3 linked regions of the Neodiprion lecontei genome follow. Each later gene encodes a partner of the first gene's protein in a complex. Links are inferred from orthologs where the notes say so. Each region holds a gene or a part of one and is shown in the gene's direction. Other genes may lie near its edges.

What was found. Proteins that work in one complex are often made in the same cells at the same time.
Region 2: U6 snRNA-associated Sm-like protein LSm4 (region 1) and U6 snRNA-associated Sm-like protein LSm7 share a complex: the UniProt entries of both Homo sapiens proteins name them as parts of the precatalytic spliceosome. The link is inferred for Neodiprion lecontei from reciprocal best matches to the Homo sapiens genes LSM4 and LSM7.
Region 3: U6 snRNA-associated Sm-like protein LSm4 (region 1) and U6 snRNA-associated Sm-like protein LSm5 share a complex: the UniProt entries of both Homo sapiens proteins name them as parts of the precatalytic spliceosome. The link is inferred for Neodiprion lecontei from reciprocal best matches to the Homo sapiens genes LSM4 and LSM5.

What each region holds. Positions count from the first base shown.
Region 1 is NC_060261.1:34,776,236-34,779,338, reverse strand, and holds U6 snRNA-associated Sm-like protein LSm4, read left to right. Parts: upstream 1-1,215; 5' UTR 1,216-1,414; coding exon 1,415-1,417; intron 1,418-1,495; coding exon 1,496-1,537; intron 1,538-1,610; coding exon 1,611-1,709; intron 1,710-1,950; coding exon 1,951-2,158; intron 2,159-2,239; coding exon 2,240-2,337; 3' UTR 2,338-2,595; downstream 2,596-3,103. Other genes in the region: NADH dehydrogenase [ubiquinone] iron-sulfur protein 6, mitochondrial, read left to right, coding at 2,873-3,007. UniProt on the Homo sapiens protein: Plays a role in pre-mRNA splicing as component of the U4/U6-U5 tri-snRNP complex that is involved in spliceosome assembly, and as component of the precatalytic spliceosome (spliceosome B complex).
Region 2 is NC_060260.1:39,228,838-39,231,885, reverse strand, and holds U6 snRNA-associated Sm-like protein LSm7, read left to right. Parts: upstream 1-1,240; 5' UTR 1,241-1,316; coding exon 1,317-1,322; intron 1,323-1,419; coding exon 1,420-1,431; intron 1,432-1,523; coding exon 1,524-1,707; intron 1,708-1,851; coding exon 1,852-1,991; 3' UTR 1,992-2,471; downstream 2,472-3,048. Other genes in the region: chitin deacetylase 1, read right to left, coding at 2,474-2,752, 2,858-3,028. UniProt on the Homo sapiens protein: Plays a role in pre-mRNA splicing as component of the U4/U6-U5 tri-snRNP complex that is involved in spliceosome assembly, and as component of the precatalytic spliceosome (spliceosome B complex).
Region 3 is NC_060261.1:5,614,626-5,617,206, forward strand, and holds U6 snRNA-associated Sm-like protein LSm5, read left to right. Parts: upstream 1-1,110; 5' UTR 1,111-1,289; coding exon 1,290-1,335; intron 1,336-1,573; coding exon 1,574-1,770; intron 1,771-1,874; coding exon 1,875-1,907; 3' UTR 1,908-2,004; downstream 2,005-2,581. Other genes in the region: serine/threonine-protein kinase mos, read right to left, coding at 2,067-2,381, 2,448-2,581. UniProt on the Homo sapiens protein: Plays a role in pre-mRNA splicing as component of the U4/U6-U5 tri-snRNP complex that is involved in spliceosome assembly, and as component of the precatalytic spliceosome (spliceosome B complex).

The sequences.
Region 1 (3,103 bases):
TTTGATCACGTGTACACGATATATACGAACTACGATGTAAGTCCAGTCCGATGTAAGTCCAGTCCGTTGTCATCGATTATATATTAATTTCCATTAGAAGTATAGCGATAACCAAGATGAAGCTGAAGGATCACCTCCCCATAAACTTTCCGGACCAATCTTGACACATTTTACAGTCCTACTCGTGCAGGTACGCGGTTGATCTAATTCATTATTCATGTATACATATACCTATATTCGTATGTAATACACATTTGTTGATGGATTATAAACACCCTGCTCGTAGAAACAAACTTTTAAATATATATATAAAATATACATACATATACACACACACATTTACATACAATATAATCTATACCTCTATATAAACATTACGTATGATAAGATCTTGCGAATACACGTATAATATAGAATAGTTACCAACCCAAGCAGTCAATATTGTTAAGTAACAATGAAATTACACTGAATAGTCTTACTTGGAGTATATAAGCGAAGTATATACAAACTTTACGTATTGTATGTACACTTATAGTTTAAGGACTCAGTGTGTTTTTTCGCGTGTATATGTACATATGTATATGTATATATGTTGACACAGAAATATATATTACTCAATAAATCGCCAATCGTATAGTATCAAAATAAAGCTATTCGTTGTAATTTCTCTACGGGCCCTATGCAAAATTCTTCAGCCAACTGTATGAGTAATGTTGGAATTCGTATGAGTCAAATCATATTCTGAGATTGGGTGGGTCAGAATTCAGTTAAAAAAAAGTGGAGTAACATCGTTCAAATCTCGCCGGTGAGTCGAGCTTTCATATTGCTTCATAGGAGTGTCCGAAAAATATACGGAAGAGAAGCATTTTCTGCATCCTCTGCCTAGTAATGTAGCGTTCGTGTGGCGCTCGCACCACCAACGCGGGAGTTTAGAGAAGTTGGCTAAGTTTGAACGAAAATATGGTCAGCCGTCGGCAGCGCCAAGAATCAAGATTTTTGAAATGGTCATCCGTGAGCCAAGTCAGTGTGAAGACGTAAATTCTTCATTTTTAATAAATTAGCTTTTCATTTCATGTTTTGTAATTACCTCTCATATGAATCAAAATTAGTTAGTTTTAAATCCTCAGCATATTCCCTCCGTGCAGTAATCTGAAGAGTGCTGCACTCTGGCATCGATTTCATTAAGCCTAACTTCTTTCTCTCGCGAGTCGCATTTGGTAATTTATATGCATTATATGACGGTAAAAAAAACAGTGTAAAAAACTTTTGCATCGAAGCTCGCTAGTCGATAGGCGATGTAGTCGATATGGTCGATATCAGCTGTGAATTGTGATGTTGACTTATTACTTCATTAGTCGAAATTGAAAGTGTTTAAAACTTCACACGTAACAAATCGTGCGGGAAGGTTTTAAAAATGGTAAAGTTTGATCATGCTAAAATTATGATCAGTAGATGGTTTAATAAATTCAAATAATAATGTTCTTTCATTTTCCAGCTACCGCTTTCATTGTTGAGAACAGCACAAAATCATCCTATGGTAAATCTTAACCTCAAAATTCTAGTCGTTTCATTACTTATTGCCAATTGTAGTTTGGTATTTTTTATTTCAGCTCGTCGAACTCAAAAATGGGGAAACATACAATGGACACTTGGTTAGCTGTGATAATTGGATGAACATTAATCTCAGAGAAGTCATCTGCACATCCAGGGTAATCTCAGTTGGCGTTCAATTAGCTTGCTTACATTTACTACGGGCACAGCATTGAATGTAACCTCGTCCAAAAACTCGTTAAATAATGTGTGCAGTACTGTAAGGCTGAAAGTTCCATTCCAGTTTAACCATCCTTGGAAAGTCTACTTTCATTGCAATGTGTTTATAAAAATTGCTGTAAATTATTGAGTTTATTCTATACTATCATTGCTAATCATCATAACAAATTGTCAATACAGGATGGTGACAAATTTTGGAGGATGCCAGAATGCTACATTCGTGGTAGTACCATTAAGTATCTTAGAATTCCAGATGAAGTTATAGACATGGTTAAAGAAGACGTTCAAATGAAATCGAGGGGACGAGGTGAAATGAAAGGACGTGGCGGTCAAAATCAACGAGGCGGTCGAGGCGGAGGCGGAGGTGGAGGTGGAGGTGGTGGCAGAGGTATTCGATAGTCAAAATCACATTAAATGAAGCAATTAAAGGAATTTTGAGATTTCATAGTTTATGCTTATGTTCTTTCAGGCACTTTCGGAGGACGTGGGGGAAGAGGCCCTGCGCCTTTAGGTCGAGGTGGTAATCAAGGTGGCAACAAACCCCAAAACAAACCAAGAACCAAATAAATATTTATTTAATAAGTGTTTGTACTATGAAATTACCCTAGGTTATACAGGTTTTCTAACTTGTAAAGAAATGTTATGTTTTAATTGTAGCATGTCACGGAGATATTCATCATATACGTATCTATGTATTTGAATCTAACTACACCATTGGATTATAATAATCATTTCTATAAAAAACTGTTATGGTTTGATTGCTGTAGTACTTTGAGTTGATCAACATCATGCATGAGACTTGCAAAATATACGGAGAGAACATCACAACGATCTGTGAAATAATCGACTATCTTCATCGCTTAACTTGCTATTTTTATTTTCAATAGAGCAAAAAATTAGGGATTAAGAAACGTATAATTGGTATACTTTTCTCGTATCTTGAACACTTGTGATACTTGTGCACGGGTCGGGGAAACACGTTGAGATACTACGGTGAGTACTCATTTGAACAGGTTTATGAAACTGTCGCGCAGCGAGAGCCGTGAGTCAGCTGTTATCTCACTGCAACTTCAGACAGATTAGCCGATCAGTAGTTGTGAATATGGCGTGCAAGAAAGTTGTCTGTCTGCTTGGGAATCAAACGAAAGTTTGCAAAATAAACGTCCCGGCTTTCACAACCGGAATACGTAACAAAGCTTCTTGGGAGCCCGTCGAAAAAGAAACGCATACTGGCCAGGTGAATAATAATTACGACTTATCCTGTTACGTAAATGTGAGGTTATGTTCATCTTCTTTGGTTTTCTCTGTTTAATGAACTGTTACCGCACTTTTA
Region 2 (3,048 bases), on another chromosome or scaffold:
ACACAAAGGGGTTAGCCTTACTTTTTTTTTGGGCAAAAAACTTTTGGTCTCAGATTCGATTTGTATGACGCTTTTATGACTAATTGGACCACCAGGAACTCAGAAAACGCACCAAAAAGAGCGTGGTACCAACAGTAAAGATAGTATGAAGAAAGTAGGGAGAAATTATCTAGGTGTTATTTATTTTATTCCAGGTTATGTAAAATCGTAACATTCCAATCTATTGTATCTATTGTATTCTATTACACGTCTCGTTTTCTGCGACGGTGAATTGCACCTGTACTAAGGCTGAAATTGAAACCGCACTTAGAAACTGCATTAATAATTATTTTGTACAACATTGTTTATATTCAGCTTAATGCAATATATATCGTAGTATTTTTTCCCTATGCTGTATTTAGACTCCTTGTGTCATGTTAGTTCATTGTTCTGCAACTTTTTATCTTGAACACCAATAACGTTGGAAATATTATCCTAATTATACCAGTGAATGTATTATTATAGGAATTATTGATATATTATATCATGAATACTATAATGCATTAGTGCAACATATTAGAACTATACTATTTGGAAATTTGGTAAATTAGTATACACTGACACCTGAACACTTGTAATAGAACTAAGGTACATTGAATAAACTGGAACTGGAACTTGGTAGCTATGAATTTGTTATTTTTCTCTTCCACCTCTTTGCAACTCGGTTTGCCAGCCGTAATGAATTCCTCTCTCAAAATTACGTTGATATTGGGTATGAATTAATCGATTTCAGCATTCACTAAAATTTGCCAAATATGACCTGAAAAGTTAAAAGAATTTACATTTTTTGCGATATTTGAAACAAAAATTTTTTTTATCTCAGCATCGATTTGTGCGATCCTTACTAGGCTAATTAGACCCCACAGAAGTCATATAAGGCTTTCAAAACCTTGTGAGATCAACAGCTGAAGAGACACGTAAAAAAATTTCCGTTCAGAGATGACAAATTTTATACCAATGAAATTCAAAAGGTTAAAAAGTTAGCCTTTCTTTTTTACGGCCAAAAAAATTTCATCTCACAAATCCGCAACGTCTTTGCTCACTTAATTCGTTCTATTTTCTACTTTCCACGTAATCAAAATCATACTTCCCACTAAATTCCACGTCAGAAGATCATTTCCATAAAGTTGACCATCTACATGTGTCGGTACGTCTTCGGTTTATGGTCGATGGCTTTTTTCCTTATTTTACGAACGCGGAATTCACAGTAATCATTCGTATTATTAACCGGCGGTCACTTGTTTTTTTACTACTTGGAATAACCTGAGAAGTAAAACATGTCTGTAAGTTTATCAAGACATACATCATGATTATAATACTCGGTACTATTACCTATAAATATGAAAGTTAATTGTCATTCCATAAATTTCTATTTTACAGACTGCTAATAAGGTAAATCAAGGTTATGTTTCAGCAACATAACCTTCAAAAATCGTCAAAGTCCATAAACTTAACTGTTATAATAACTTGAATAATGTTTTTAGAACCAAAATGCTCACACTGATCACAAGGAGAAGAAAAGGAAGGAAAGTATATTGGATCTCTCCAAATACCTTGAGAAGAACATAAGGGTAAAGTTTGCCGGAGGCAGGGAAGCTGCAGGAATTCTAAAAGGATATGATCCGCTCCTGAATCTTGTTTTAGACAACACGACTGAATATCTTAGAGGTACATCGTAGTCAATTAATCAGTTACCGTCTGTCCTTATAAGTCAAATTATTGATATTACCGCTTTGATAATTGGTTTGAAATCACTCAATTTTCAGAGTAATAACAAATGAGTAACATTGTGGATGATTGTGCCGTTTTCAGATCCAGATGATCCCTACAAATTGAATCAGGATACAAGGATGCTGGGGTTAGTTGTATGCCGAGGAACGTCGGTTGTTCTAATATGTCCAGTCGATGGAATGGAATCGATACAGAACCCATTCATTCAGCAAGATGGTTAACGGTTTATATTACACAAATTTTTATCTACAACCTTTTCGAATCACATAAGCTTGAAGAAAAAAACAGACCTGACACGCCATGTGTGCACATCCATCGACCATCGGTTTATGATTTGTTTCAAATGACTATGGATTGGTAAAACTCGAACATCTATCCTAACCACACGATGATCGATTTATTTTTACGTTCCACTACTAGATAATAAATATCATTTGTGGTTTTCTTCTCATGGTAGATACACATATAATACGTTCTTCGTACAAATAAATATCCTACTTACAACTAATTAAGGTACTCAGTCATATTCGAACAAATTACAAGCAAATCTCTGTGGTAATTACACACTCTAGATGTAACTACGTAAGTTCTTAAAATTATGGCATATTGCGTGATATTCTTATTGATCTAATTTCACCCTCAATTGATTTGTGAGAAAGAAGAGAAGTAAGTAAAATACAACGCAAGAAGAAAAACCGTTACCTTAGTTCAATCCAAACTCATTTCTTAACCAGGGATATTGTTTCGGACATTCGTAACACGTGTACAAATATCTATCAGACTTTAAGACACTACTGTACAACTTGCACGTGTTCGGCAAGGCGCAGGCAATTTCCCGGGGCTCGAATTGCCGCTTGTTGCAGTTCCATGGCTGAAAATTCTTTAGCTTGTTTAACGGCGTTGGATTTCGCATCCATTCAACCATTTGATTACTAGTTACAAAGTAAACGTCTGGAAGCTGCAGAGTGTCGTCAATGAATTTCTGGAATACAGAATAATAATCAATACATAACATGCTTGTAAATTGAAGGACTTTACTAATTTTGTGACGATTCTTAACGACGAGATGACAAAAGTTGACTATTACCGAGAACGCGTAGTGGTATGCTGGGTTCTTGAACCAAGCTGCATGAAAGTAGAGTCCATAGGGTGCCCGATTTTGTAGATAATGTCTGTTAAAGTTAACCGTCAGCATACGATATATTTCTTCCCCTGACAGATCCCGCGTACAAGAGTCAATCATGGTGCACGTGTAATTCTAAAACACGAACCGAAACA
Region 3 (2,581 bases), about 29 Mb from region 1:
GCGACGAATTGCGAGGACAAGTAGTCAAATTTGGTCCGAAGATAGAATAAGAATAATAATACGAACGTTGAATGCAAAATGGAATATGTATTTGGCGTGTTCGTACGCATGCATACACGCACGTATATATGTGCGTAATAAATTTGTAGAGGCGAAAATTGTGCGGCAACCGGAATATGAGGTGATAGAATAGAACATTTCGATGGTATCATAACAGAAGACGGGGTGTTTTTGTTATCATTTTTTCATCATTTTCAACGGATAATATACCATGTGTAAATTAGGATGGAAGAGTGACTAGGTATCCAGATACCAAGTCCATTCGGTGAGTGTTCACGGGGCAAATCAATCGGGAAGTCTGTACGTTAGCGAGAAAGAGAGAAAAAGAAAAAAAAAATCGCGTGGTCAGGGAGCTGGGTAGACAGCCTCTGAAGTAGGTATATACAGCGTGAACAAAACGTCCCCTTTGACATTGTTTGATGATACATCTAACAAAGCGACGTGCGTATTATACATAACCGTTGTTGTTTCATTACAACGATATTATAATTAGATACTAGAAGTTGCATGTAGATATATATGTATTAATAGCTATGTATCTACGGATAGTAGAGAGCTTGTCAAATCCACCCCATCGGACACAACAATTAAAATGAATATTGTGATATCTCTTACCTCGGTACAGTTAACTCCGGGAAATCACTTTGAATCACTAACTTAATACAATTGTCATGTCTAATTGGAAAATAACTTTTAACGTAACTCATATTGCTCGCACATTGGCACATTTACAAAATCACACAAATAACGAAAGAGTTATACTTCTGCCATGTTCGGCTACAAATTCTACATTGCTGCTGAACCTCGCCGCTGATACCTTCTGCTTCTCCCGTCGACCGTCGCGGCGGCGCTGCTGTCGACATCGAATCATCACTGAATAATATGCGCCAAATGGGCAACGGCCAAAGGGCAATGCCAGTATACTCTGTCTCTCTTTCTCTACACTCTGATTGGCTGAGCATTACGAGATATGCGCGTTCGGCCAATCGCAGCGCAGAGCGAGAGAGACAGAGTGTACGGCAATTGCCTTTTACTGGGAAGCCACCTCCATGCGATATAAGCACGACGGCAACGGCAATGTGCGCGCAACTACCGGTGTTTCGAATCCAACGACGCGTAGTCATTTTACAGGACGTCCGGATTGCCGTCCCGCTTAATTAGTTGATTGTTAGTTGGTTAAAAAGTGAGGGTATATTAATACCGATTGACGAGACTATTCTGTTCCCAAAATGACTAGCTCTGTGACTACGAATCCATCCACGCTTTTGCCGCTAGGTAAATAAATAAAATAATAACGAAATTTTTCCTAACCTCTATGATCTAACGACAGAACGACGTTGTTTATTATTTATTTTTTGTGTATTTTTAAAATACGTTTTAAAATATATGCCATTAGTTCGGGGTAGTCCACGTGTCTTTTACATTCTCGTATTTTCTGCAACCTTGCTCATTATCGATCATCTTAATTTTCTCTATTAACTGATGTTTTATTTCATTGAATTTTACTTTACAGAATTGGTGGACAAGTGCATCGGCTCCCGCATTCACATTATCATGAAAAATGATAAAGAAATTGTGGGTACATTACAAGGATTTGATGACTTTGTGAATATGTTATTGGATGATGTGACTGAAAGCGAAGCAACACCCGAGGGACGCAGAGTTACAAAATTGGATCAGATCCTCCTCAATGGAAATAACATTACGATGGTTAATATGGAAATACAAATACATTTCGATAGCATGATGTGTTTAAAATGCACAACAAGGTTTATTGCAACAGTTTGACTATCATTTTTTCTTTCCTGTTTCAGTTAGTACCTGGAGGTGATATGCCAGAAACATAATCTCATCCCCTGTGATTTCATGTATAATACTTTTGACATTTACTGCTATGTGATTGTAAAAATTTATTCAAATAACAATGATTTTCTTTTGTAAACATTTCTGCATTGTCTTCCTTTTATCCCGTATCATCATTGAGCCTTTGCCATTTCTAATTAACTTCAACACTTTGCTTCGACCTCTAAATCTTGAAGCTCCGTTGCAACTCCATCTATACTGGGTCTATCTGTTTTTTCAAATGACCACATCTTTGAATACAACGCTTTATACTTGCCACCTAAATTATCATCCAGCATTGAATCCTCCGGTTTTATACCTTTCCCAGTGAGATACAAAATAGCGTGAGGATGGAGGTCAGCGAATGGCAAAGTCCTGCTTAGCATTTGCCAGGCCAAAATTCCCAGGGAATATATGTCTGAAGGTGGAGAGGGTAATTCCCCTCTGATTACTTCTGGGGCTACATAACCAGGTGTACCCTGAAAATATGGCATAAACCTGGTGATTTAGGGAATGAAATCGTGATGCAAAACTAAAAAACCTACTCGAATTCCTGTATATGTGTCTTCTTCCCCCAAAAGAACGGAGCTACCAAAATCTGCTAATTTTGGGTTGCCATCTGCGGCCATGAGAATATTTTTTGGCTTCACATCGGCATGAACCACGCCAGCTCGGTGAC